Drosophila melanogaster: one gene and its partner. The protein of the gene in region 2 interacts with the protein of the main gene of each other region in a pairwise test. Each region holds a gene or a part of one and is shown on either strand. Other genes may lie near its edges. The genes, in order: CG17154 and RanBPM.

Region 1 (2,965 bases), on a different chromosome or scaffold from region 2:
AGCTATAAAGTCTTATAGTTATAGGTCTGGCTTTCCACAAACAGCTTACAGGTTTTAAGTACATTGAATAACTTAAATTGGTGTTTTGCAAATAATTAAATGATTTTCAATGGTAATTTCATTTTTATTAGTAAACATATATTATTTTGCATTTTTTTTTAACATTTGTAATCTCCTAAAAATGTTGATGCACTTTGGTGCAGCTACAGTTAGGATCATAAGAAATCCCCATTTCGAAGTTTATGCTTCATCTGTGGAGGCGTTAAGTGATGAAGGGGAAGGGGTGGGTATCTATTTGGAATGGGTAGAGATGAGAGTGGAGCTGCGAAGAGTTCGTGGAAGAGTGTTGAAAGCGAAGACAAATAGTACACATTTAATTATGACAAGGTGACTCGGCTACGCCTCTGCTCCTCCACCTCTGATCCCCACTGCCCACCACCTGGCCATCCATTTTCCACTTTGCCGGGAAATTTAACTATGAAAATTCAGACGAAATTTGATTCGGTTGCTTGGCCCCCTGCTGACTTCTGCTGCCACTGACACTAATGCCTTTAATGATCCAAGTTGTCGCTCAAGTTGAAAACCGCCATTAGACTTGACTCCCCATTGTCTTTGGGACCAGTTGTCAGCACTACCTATCATGATCAGTGAAATACCTAGGAAACATTACATGATTTAATCGGAGAACATGAGTTTCGAGGAGTGGAAAATGTTGATTATTTTATAATTGTGATTTAACATATGCCTTAAAATTAAATAGTGGGTATGCACTGTATGCTTTTTGCTTGCAGATATTTCCGAAATATATGTGAATATGTATTACAAGATGTTTATAGAATCATCATACATTCAGTTGACTACATCTATGCTGTTTGCGTTCTCGCAGATCGTCTCGTAATCCTGACTAAGATCCCGGTGTATGCCCAATAGCTTCCGGTGGACCTTGACGAACTTGCCCACGTATATCGTTAGCTTGGCGGTTAGATTACTCCTCAACTCTTGCACGGTGCACTGCTGGTAGATGTTGCCAGCGGCAATTGTGCACGGTAGTCCATCATTGCGACCTTCTAGCATTTTCAGCATGCCCTGCAGCTTTTTGATGCACTTCTTCAGAGTTTTCTTCTGCTTGGTCAACTCGCGGTGCCGAGCATGCTGCTCCTCAACGTAGTTGATCACCTCGTTGGGAATGTTCGGGATCGAGCTCTCCTCCATTAGCATTTCAATTTAATAGAAAAAAATTTTGGGAGTGAATTTTTAATAGTTGCTCAAATATGATAGGAAAAACAAAAAAATTTATTTTGAAAATTACATATAAAAATATGTCATATATACTCAAGTAGTTCTTGAAAGTGGTTCTGTACGTAAAATACCCATCATAAGATTGTCAAATCTATTTGCCTTGTTGGGACACCTTTGAATGTGACCTAATGTATTCATATTTTCCATCATCTCTTTATGCCGCTTCACACCTCCGAGTTAGCCACGATTATGATTTCATCTGGCCAAAACAAAGATGGCCCATGAGATCTTCTGCGGATACAATGGCAATGCTAATCACATTAATAAATTATCCGCACCTCCGGTTGGAAACTCGCATCTATTGATTCTTTGATCGTTGTAGATGAGAATATTGTTATTGGCTGATTCACGACTGGACATTTGCAGTGGCTAAACATTAATTTTTCACGCTACCCTCCCTTGATTTATTCAAATTATTTTTAATGGCCTTTTGTTGTTGACTCTGTCACTGTGCTAAATGGCAGTACAAATTCCACAAGTCTATTGGAATTTTTACTATACAGCGACTATTGTGAATTAGTTGGAATTGGCTGACATCAGAGGAGTGGGGGTGGGGGGTACCACTTGTACAAATGGTTTTTTAATGCATCTATGAATTTGTTTTGGTTGCCAAATCTTTTGAGAAAATTCCCCGAATTACCGCTGAGCAGTTCAGCTTAGATTTATTTCTAACATTTTCAATGAAATATAGTCTTAAATCATTTCATAGCAACATATCATTTCTACCACTTGATTTTATTTCCTTAAATGATAACAATGTGTATGTGTAAGCTAAAAGTCGGCGAGTTTCAAGAGTTCCTTGTACTTTCCCAGTTCCTTTCAATGGAATTGAACTTCTTTTATGAAACAAGTTCTCCTGCCCTGCGATTTCACATAAACGGCCATACAAAAGACCACACGCGTTTTGGATGCCATTTATGAGCATTTAATCCTTTCGGGCAGCCCAACAATAGCCAACACCACACCAAAAACAACTGAAACACCAAGCGGAAACCCAAAAATGAAAAAAAAAAAAATGTAAGAAAATCATAAAAAAGGGTGTGCATTCAGGTTGATTTATATGATCATATTTCTATGGCTTTCACTGTCGCACATAAATACATATAATTTCTGGAGTGCGACACCCACAAACAGCAGTGAAAATTGAAACGAAATGAAGACATTCAAATGTGTGGCAAGGTGTGCCAAACTTAAATTTATGTAAATTTCTGCGTTCCGTTCTTTTTTTTTATATAAACTTCTGTGGCTTCTGGATTAGTCAAATGCGCCACACCTCCTAAGAAACTCTTTAAATTTTTTTGCTCGACCTGGCAATAAGTAGCAGTTGTAAATTCTTCGATTTTTTTCCAGGGCTTTTACCACGCGAAAGTTGTTTCTATTTACATTTACACATTTGTATGGCTCTTCAGAAAATTTCTCTAATTTTGTTGTACTTGTAAGTGGAAAAACAAAACCCAAAATTTCAACGTGTGTGGCCTTTGCTTTTCTTTTCCCCAAAAAGGGCAAAACCTTTACAATCTTACAGAACTTATGTACCTTCACTCTGTCGGATCGTATTTTTTTATTTTATTTTTTTGCTTACAACTAAAACATAAATGGGTAGTACAAGCGACCCATGTAAAAGTTGAGCTACTGTTCAACCGGTTGGTCTGGCAAATGTTAAAAT
Region 2 (8,035 bases):
CGATTAGTTTTAAATAGGCGCACTGAAGCCGGTTGCGCAGGTAAAAAAGAAAGAGAACGGAAGTAACAACAAAATTTAACCTACTGCAAATTGTAAATAATCTAAATTTAGTCCAGTGTCTCGAAGAAGTCCTGCGGATCGACGAACATCGATGGGCTGCTGTTTCCGCTCAAGATTTCCGCTTCCTCCTCCTCCTGGCGAGCCGCCTCCGCTTCCGCTTCTTCCGCCTCCTCCTCCGCTGCCGCTGCTGCAGCCGCTGCCGCCGATGAAGATGAGCTGACCCCGCTCCTGCGACGACCCCGACGCACTGGTCCCGTGCCCGTGCCCCCGCCCACCGATGCCACAGCTGCCGACCGGAGCGTACTGCCCGTCATCACGGGATCGTAGGTCCGCGACGACGGGGCATCGGTATTGCTGGACAGGGAGGATTTGCGGCGACGTTTGTTACGCCGCCTTCGGCGTCGTTTGCTGGTCTGAACTGCCACGGCAGCCGTTGATGTGGAGGGCCCAGATCCGGTTCCGGCGCTGCCCAACGGTTCCGTAAGCACACTGGTTCGCGGCAGGGTCAGCGTGGTCTCGAACATCTTCAGCAGCGTCGGGGAACTGGGTCAATTTTGCGGGAACACATCGTCGATGGTAATGAAAGCGTCCTCGCCCAGCGAGTGCTGTCCGATCACCTTGATCAGCTCCGAGGCGTGAGCCACCAGGTATTCCAGCGGCGGACGACGCTCGAAGTTCAGGGACTCTGCATAATCATAGTAATTAGTAACTTCGTTTCGAGACAAGTGTTTAAAGACTTACCCAATATGGCCGAGTTGAGTGTGGTGGAAACACTCTCACGTCGCGAGGGACACAGCAACCAGCCCAGCGGACTGGACCAAGGATTAGAGTAGGCAATCAGACTAAATGCATCCTGTAACAACCATAAATTGAATATCTCTCGATTACGGATAATCATATTCTTATTGAAGTTATTTTTCAAATACAAAGAGTGCTTAGTCTGCAAGATACCAGTTTCTATTGTTTATACATTTTTATAGTTTACCTCCAACATTTGACGCTCCTCTTCAGTCATTAGGTTCTCCTTCTCCAGCTGCTGGCCCATGCTGGACAGTTCCTTGCCGAACTCAAGGATCTTCTCGATCACACGACCACAGTTACGCGATGAGGGGGAAACATCTACATCTGCAAGTGCTAGGGATTACGGATCTTCCCGGAAATGCCGCCAATAGATACATACCCATTTCCTCGTCGATGGCATCTAGAGAGTTGCGCACTGCGCTGGCATTGCCATTGGAGCTCGAGTCGCCGCCGTTGGAGTGACTCTGGCAGGGCTCCATTTCTACGTCCATGCTGTTGCTGTCGTGCTCCACGCACTTGTTGGAGTTGTCGTCAACCAACATGCTTGAACAGTACGTTGTGATTAAAGATCGGAGTAAGTATTACATTTGACTTACTTTTTTATATCTGGCCTATCGCCGCCTTGTGGCTTTATCACAGCTGGAATCGCAGTGTTGTTCTGTTGTTGAGTCTGATTTATGTTGACGTTGCCATTTCCACTGCCGCTCTTGCTGTGCTTGAACGTCTTGGTGGACTGTATCACTGACGTCTGGTTTGTGGGCATGGTCTGTGTGGTGGCGGTGACTTTGTTGTTCACGTTCTGTAAGACAAACCATCCGGTTCTACTTATCTTCCGCATGTAATGTTTAAAAACCCACCTCAATGTCAGCTCCATTGATCATCTCAATGAACTGGCGGCACTTCAATGCGAACCAGAGGTTTTTATTATTTTCCAGGAGTCCGGGGAAAGAACGTAGTGTATGTTCGATGGCCTGGCTCATTTTGCCAGTCAGTATAAGCTTAATGATCTCTGGAAGAGTGGATTTAAAGTTGGCATGTGTGTTGTCATTTCAAATGGCAAATATACGAACTTTGACGTGTCTTGATCGATGCCAAGTCCTCGTTGAAAGTCTGATTTGTGTAGCCATTGAAGGCCTCGGCGGTTTTGCTGAACGCATTATGCACCAAATAAGTGGAAACCAGGCTAAGCAATTTAGAAGTCATTGGGTTAAGCCATGATTTTTAAACACATTTAACAAAAACGCACCGATTCATCAGGTTTTCTGGGGTCTCCAGCAGATGTGGATATCGATCGATCTTGCGGAGCACATTGGAGCGCATCTCCTTCATCATATCGACGATCTTGTCGAACTTGAATGGTTCCTGACCAAAGTTGGCATCCACTTCCTCGCCAGGCGTCTGTAGGCCCACAGTGGGATAAAGCTTAGTCTAAACAAAAAAAAAAAAGATTAACAAACATAAAGTTAGAAGATAAAGTAGTTTTAAAATTCCATTGAATACGCACCGGCAAATCCCTAAATGCGATGCCCAGATCCACTCCGTTCTTGGTGTAGAAGCACGTGTTGTTCACAAAGTTGACGCAGCATCCAATCACATCGCCGGTGGTAAAAGTGGGGCCGTAGGTTTGGCCATTTCCCGAGGAGCTAAACGAGTTGCCATCGTCGCCGTGGTACCCGTACGACTGTTTGTCCCAACCTACTTGAGGGGGGGTGCGGTTATTAGGAATCATGGGCACATCTCGCCGAGCAGCACAATGGAACACAAACCTGGCAGGCGGTTCATACGGAACTGCTGGGCAGTTAGGCCAATGCCCATGTAGCCGTTGCGTCCCTTGGAGATTATCCGCACCTCGAAGTAGTACAGTCCGCAGGAGGACGGGATCGGATAGGCAGTGCGCACTGAGGCGGCATCACTGTGCTGCTTGCCCACACCTAAAAAGTCATGAGGTTTCAGTATTTGACAGATCTCAATTTTTATATGCTATAGCATTGCAGTAAGACAATATTCTTTTATCCATTCGGTATGAACTTCCTACTCTCGAACTTAGTACATGGGATATGTTCTTAACATAAATGAATGAGTTGGTTATCTGGACAATAAAAATAATAAAATTGATACTCTAAATAAAAAAACTGATTTTTGGCCTAAGTCTACGTCGAAACAATAATGAGACATTTTATCAATTTAAATGAAATATTTCGAATTATTGAGTTATATATTTTACCTGAAATTAAAGTAACCTAAATATACATTTTACATCTATGCAACGCACCATCTACGTAATAACTTATACATTTTACGCGCATTTTACATGTTATGTCGCACTGGTAAGCCAGCTGTTGCTGTTAGCGGTTTAACAGCCACGCGAATGAGCGTGGGAGAAGTGGGTTATGAAAAACAAAAACCACCAGTGCACAGCTGAGAGCACCTGTCTGTGCCCTGTGCGTGTGTGTGCCAGAGCGAGATAGAGCGAAAGAGAGTGAAAACTGCAGCTGCACTACGACTCTTCTTCTTTCTACTGCATTGAGTTACATCCTTCAAGACAAATATTAGATTTTGTGGATGGGATTTCGAATAAATAATAATTTCGATAATGCAATTAATAACTATGCAAGTAATAATTTAGTAGGGGCTAGCCTTATATTCGGGTGTTTTGATTTAAGGGCTAAAATATTGTATACTGTCTCTTTAGCTTTAGATCAATACAAATTTGAAAATGTAAGAACAAAGTCAAATCGTTGTAATAAAGATAAACTCCATGAACTCTGGCACTTATACCACCTGGATACTCATACTTGGCTACAGCGTAGACAAACTTATTACAATTTATTCCATATCTATGTAACTATATCTATGTAAGTGCATATTTAATTATTACATTTCATTGCGAAATTGAAATGTGCGTATTAGTGGCAATATGAAACCGATTTAGAATTGAACTATGACAGCTCCTAAGAAATCTGTATCTTATAGTTGCCTGATCGTTGCCTACTTTCTATTTTAGATGGTATGAAATGGAGAGTTGATTTATAGAGAAGTTCGAATCCTACTCACCCTTGTAGGTGACCCTCAAGTTGTTCTGCGACAAACCGATGGACAAGCACTTGTCATGGGGACTCCAGCACCTGGGCAGCGGAGTCTCGCTCTCGTTGACATTGGGATAGAGCAGCCTTAGGGGATCCACGCCCTGGTGCTGTGGCGAATTGGAGCTGGCGGCGGGGGTCGAGTGATGGCGGCGACCACCGACCCGCGGCGATGATGTCTGGGTGCTGCTGCGGGGATTGTGGCTGGGGAACATGTCGTTGCTGAAGTGACTGCCGTTGTTGCTGTAGAAGTGACGAGTGCGTCGCGAGAGGCTGTTACTGTTGCTGTTGTTATTATTGTTGTTGTGATTGCTGATATTGTTGTTGTTATTGTTGCTGCTCCTTGGGGCTCGTGAGGCTGAGGAGTAGCGCGGCAAAACGGCCACCGAGTGCAGGCGCTGGGCACCGGAAACGGAAGCGACTTCGCCGGCTCTGTCGACCCGGTCCTCTACCACCTCCTCCTCTTCATCCACCTCCTCGTCGTCGTCTTCGTAGTCGTCGATGCGCTCCACGGCGTTGGCGTCTATGGTCTCGGCTATAGCGTTTGCGTCTATAATCAGTGGCGGCTGCTGTTCGTTAAGATCCTGCGATCCGGAGTCCTGCTCGTCCAGATCTTCGAGAAGCAGCGGTGGCGGTGGCTCGGCTTCTGGTTCGATTTCGGGATCTCGAACTTGCGGCTCATCCGGTTCTTGGTTGGTATCTTCTCGTCCTAATGTCTCCCGGTTTTCCAGCGATGCTTGTGGTGGATGCTCTTCCGGATTCTGTGATTCTCGGTGCCGAATAAGCCCCTCTATGTGATGCAGCTCCTGGTTTTGCTCCGCTTGTTGATCTTGGTGCACTGCGGGATATTCTTGATTCTGTTGATCCAGCAATGGGTGCAGCTCCTGGTCCTGCGCGGGCGAATTCTCCTGCTGATCCTGCTGCAATGGTGGCGCCTCTTGCTGCTGCTGCTGCTCCCGCTCGTCCCGCTGCGGTGCCGTCGATGAAGTCGTGGGTGGCGGTGCAGTCTGGTGGAAAGTAGGAGTGGGTGAGTGATCATGTGGTGAATTCTCGCGAGCTTCCGTTTCAGATGCATTCAATGGGGGACTAGGGTGATCGGGATGGGGTTGGTCGTGAGAGGACGCGGGGACGGGCGGCGAGGGTGTGGGCGAATGAGAGTGTGACCGAGACGTAGAGGGGGCTATTTCGGCACCCATGGCTCCCGATTGAGAGAGCTGGTGAGAGCTGCTGCTGGCGCTGCTGTTGTTGCTATTGCTGTTGCTCTCCGAAGAGAGTGGCGGGGCCTCTTCGACGTTCTCCATGTTATGGTTGAGTTGTCGTTGTTGTTTATCTTGTTGTGGTTGCAAAAGGAGGCTGAGAGAGAGACGTTCAGCGAGGAATTAGAGAGAGTGAGCCAGCAACGAGCGAGCAAGAGAGAGCGGATGAAGTGCATATGCAGATGCTGTGTGTGTATACGTGAGGAGTGACGAAGGGAGGGGTAAGGAGGCTAGCAAACACAAACAACTTCCAAAATGCAATGTCCTTTGTCCGTTACACCGTTCACCTCATTCGCACTCTCTCAATCACTCGTGCACTCTCTTTCGTTAACTGACCCAAAATACAAACAACAACAGCAACAGCAGTTTACAGTTGCGACGCGCAGCTGCAGCACAAAAAAATACAACAGCAACAACTACAGCTACAAAATTGCATGCACGAAAATGCAAAAAATCAATAGCCAAACGATATTAGCCAATGCTTTCTGCACTTTTTAACATTGCTAGCAAGTCAGTTTTGATTATTCTACATTTGTAAATGCCTTTTTACGTCGTACTTTTCTGAAGTTTTCTTTGTTTTCCCTTCTAACCAACGAGTCACTGTCCACACACACACAAACAAGCACCAGCTCACACACTGGCAGCACTCTCTCCCTCTCGCACACACGCATATATGCATGCAGCAAGCACACACACTCGCAGCTCCCACACGCAGAGAAGAAAATTATCATTTTTTTTTAGCTGGGGCAAATGATCTTTGTTGGGGTTTTATTTAGCTGATGAATTCGATTTGGCTGTCATTCTATGCTGTTGATCGGATCTACAGTTGATATTTCCTTATATTTACCTTCAAACGATTGCTATGAGTTGTTAAATCTACGAAGTTTTGACTTTATGCTATAGAGCTGGAACAAAAGCCGATGTTCATTCGATGATATCGATATCTATTCCGACACCTGACAACATCAGAGTGCGCTCGGCAGCTATCGATTATTCTTATCGAATAAATCTCTTTAGGCGCCTAAATTCAAAATTTGATAAGCAGTAACACACTTCCCAAAGTGCCATTAAAATCTTAAAATGTTTTTAGGTAAAACCCTTGACAATACTTTTGGAGGGTATTATTGCACTATTGCTAGCAATCTTATTTTTTGGGTAAAATTAAACCTTACGTAATTCGTTATGTTTTTTAATGCTAATTTAATCTTTTAAATATTGGTTTAAATTATAAAAAAAGATCATATTATCTATTTTTAGCGCATACTTTACGCCATACCGATAAGAATATTAAGGGCAATTATTACTTAGAAACTTCTGCCTATGGTATAAAAGTATGACGAATGTCAAACATACGCGTTTTACATTGAAACCAGATTTAAAAATGCATCAGCGCAAAAAACTTTAGTGATTTCTAGTACTCTGCCCAGAATGTAATTAAGAGATCGCTGCACTGGTAAAAAAAACCGCCATAAATTCAAAAGATTCGATTCGATTGACAGACTATCGATGCTGCAGAATTTACCGGTTCGCTCTACGGCTTCTCTCAAATGCTTTGACACTTTCTATCTCACTCTTCTAATCGTTCTTGTTCGTTTCGCCTCAACCTTCACTCTGTATTTTAGTTACTTCCTTTCCGAATAGAAATCCTATCACGTAACTGATAATAAACAGTGGAAAATTACCACACGTCTGGTGTAGAGACGAATGTTGCTGGATTCTTGATTAGACTTTATACACTAGCACAAAAACTGTACTTGTAACTTATGAAACACGATCGAGCTACTGGGAGGGAACTCTTCTAATTAAACTTATCAATTGTTGCATTTTTGGTATCCATTATGACTAGATATTGAATTTTAACCATATGATTCCTATTTGGGCTGCTTTCATGCGTACTGTCTTTTGCCTTCTGAATGAGCGATCTGCCCATCCGACTTCCCAAATCCATTCCATCTTTATGTGTGACTTACTGAGAGAAAACCTATGCTGGTGTGCTAATTTTCGATAGACCCACGCACACAGTCTCACGATTTCACTCGCTCTTCACTTTCAATTAGAGGCTCGTTTTCTGTACGTGAACGGGAGAGCCGTGCGATCTATGGAAGTGTGCGATTTTTGCAGGCACTCACAAATACCATCACGTTGCTCGCCGCTCTCTCGCTCTCAATATCCGCCTATCGGCGTGGCTGTATGTTTGCAGGTGTTGGTGCTTCGCCTCTGTTTACCAACACCATTTAACATTTAAATGCGCTCTCGCTCTCTGTTTATGTTTGGAGCCGGCAAAACCGTCAACTGCATCAAATCAGCTGTTTTGATACTAGATCCTGAAGGAATTGGTTCTGGACTGATTGATTTATTCGAACAAGTTTAAATTAAAAGAAATATGCGAAACTGTACTTCATTTTGCGTTACATCTAAAATGTGTTCGTCACAGAGTCCATTTTTGTGTGACGCCCCAAACAGGTTTTTTTAAGGCCCCTCTTGAGGTTCACACAAATATGGAGACCCCGTACGAGGCCTCATCTTTCCCCTCACAATGTCCCCAATTATCACTGAGTTGTTTGTTAGTCTACCCGCAGCACCACGTACTATACATACAAACATACATATGTACATATATGATACGATAAGCCAGCTCCCGTTCTCTGTCTCTATCGGTCCCCTTTCATCAAATTGATCCAGTCGGGTATAAAAGACAGCGAGCTCTCCCAGTCAGTATTCAGTAAGCAACAAGTGTGCGAGCTAATAACAGCTACCAGCTGAGCAACTAACAAGTTTTTTTCCAAGTGAAACTAAAAATCAAACAGCAAGATGCGTTTGGGACAGACCGTACCT

What was found.
Region 1: the proteins of RanBPM (region 2) and CG17154 interact in a two-hybrid assay, tested with the Drosophila melanogaster proteins (one large-scale study listed by BioGRID).

What each region holds. Positions count from the first base shown.
Region 1 is NT_037436.4:12,086,957-12,089,921, reverse strand, and holds CG17154 (uncharacterized protein), read right to left. Parts: upstream 1,297-2,965; 5' UTR 1,219-1,296; coding exon 850-1,218; 3' UTR 697-849; downstream 1-696.
Region 2 is NT_033778.4:10,427,796-10,435,830, reverse strand, and holds the start of RanBPM (Ran-binding protein M), read right to left. Parts: upstream 6,120-8,035; 5' UTR 6,048-6,119; intron 5,827-6,047; exon of another isoform or gene 5,758-5,826; intron 5,298-5,757; 5' UTR 5,246-5,297; coding exon 3,916-5,245; intron 2,793-3,915; coding exon 2,628-2,792; intron 2,560-2,627; coding exon of another isoform or gene 2,557-2,559; coding exon 2,366-2,556; intron 2,290-2,365; coding exon 2,108-2,289; intron 2,045-2,107; coding exon 1,932-2,044; intron 1,871-1,931; coding exon 1,719-1,870; intron 1,661-1,718; coding exon 1,458-1,660; intron 1,405-1,457; coding exon 1,241-1,404; intron 1,195-1,240; coding exon of another isoform or gene 1,186-1,194; coding exon 1,046-1,185; intron 914-1,045; coding exon 802-913; intron 746-801; coding exon 609-745; coding exon of another isoform or gene 108-608; 3' UTR 1-107. Other genes in the region: CG12896 (uncharacterized protein), read left to right, coding at 8,012-8,035. UniProt on the Drosophila melanogaster protein: May be involved in JAK/STAT signaling. Isoform D is required for the proper arrangement of niche cells and is autonomously required for proper niche cell size, isoform C negatively regulates the adhesive properties of the niche.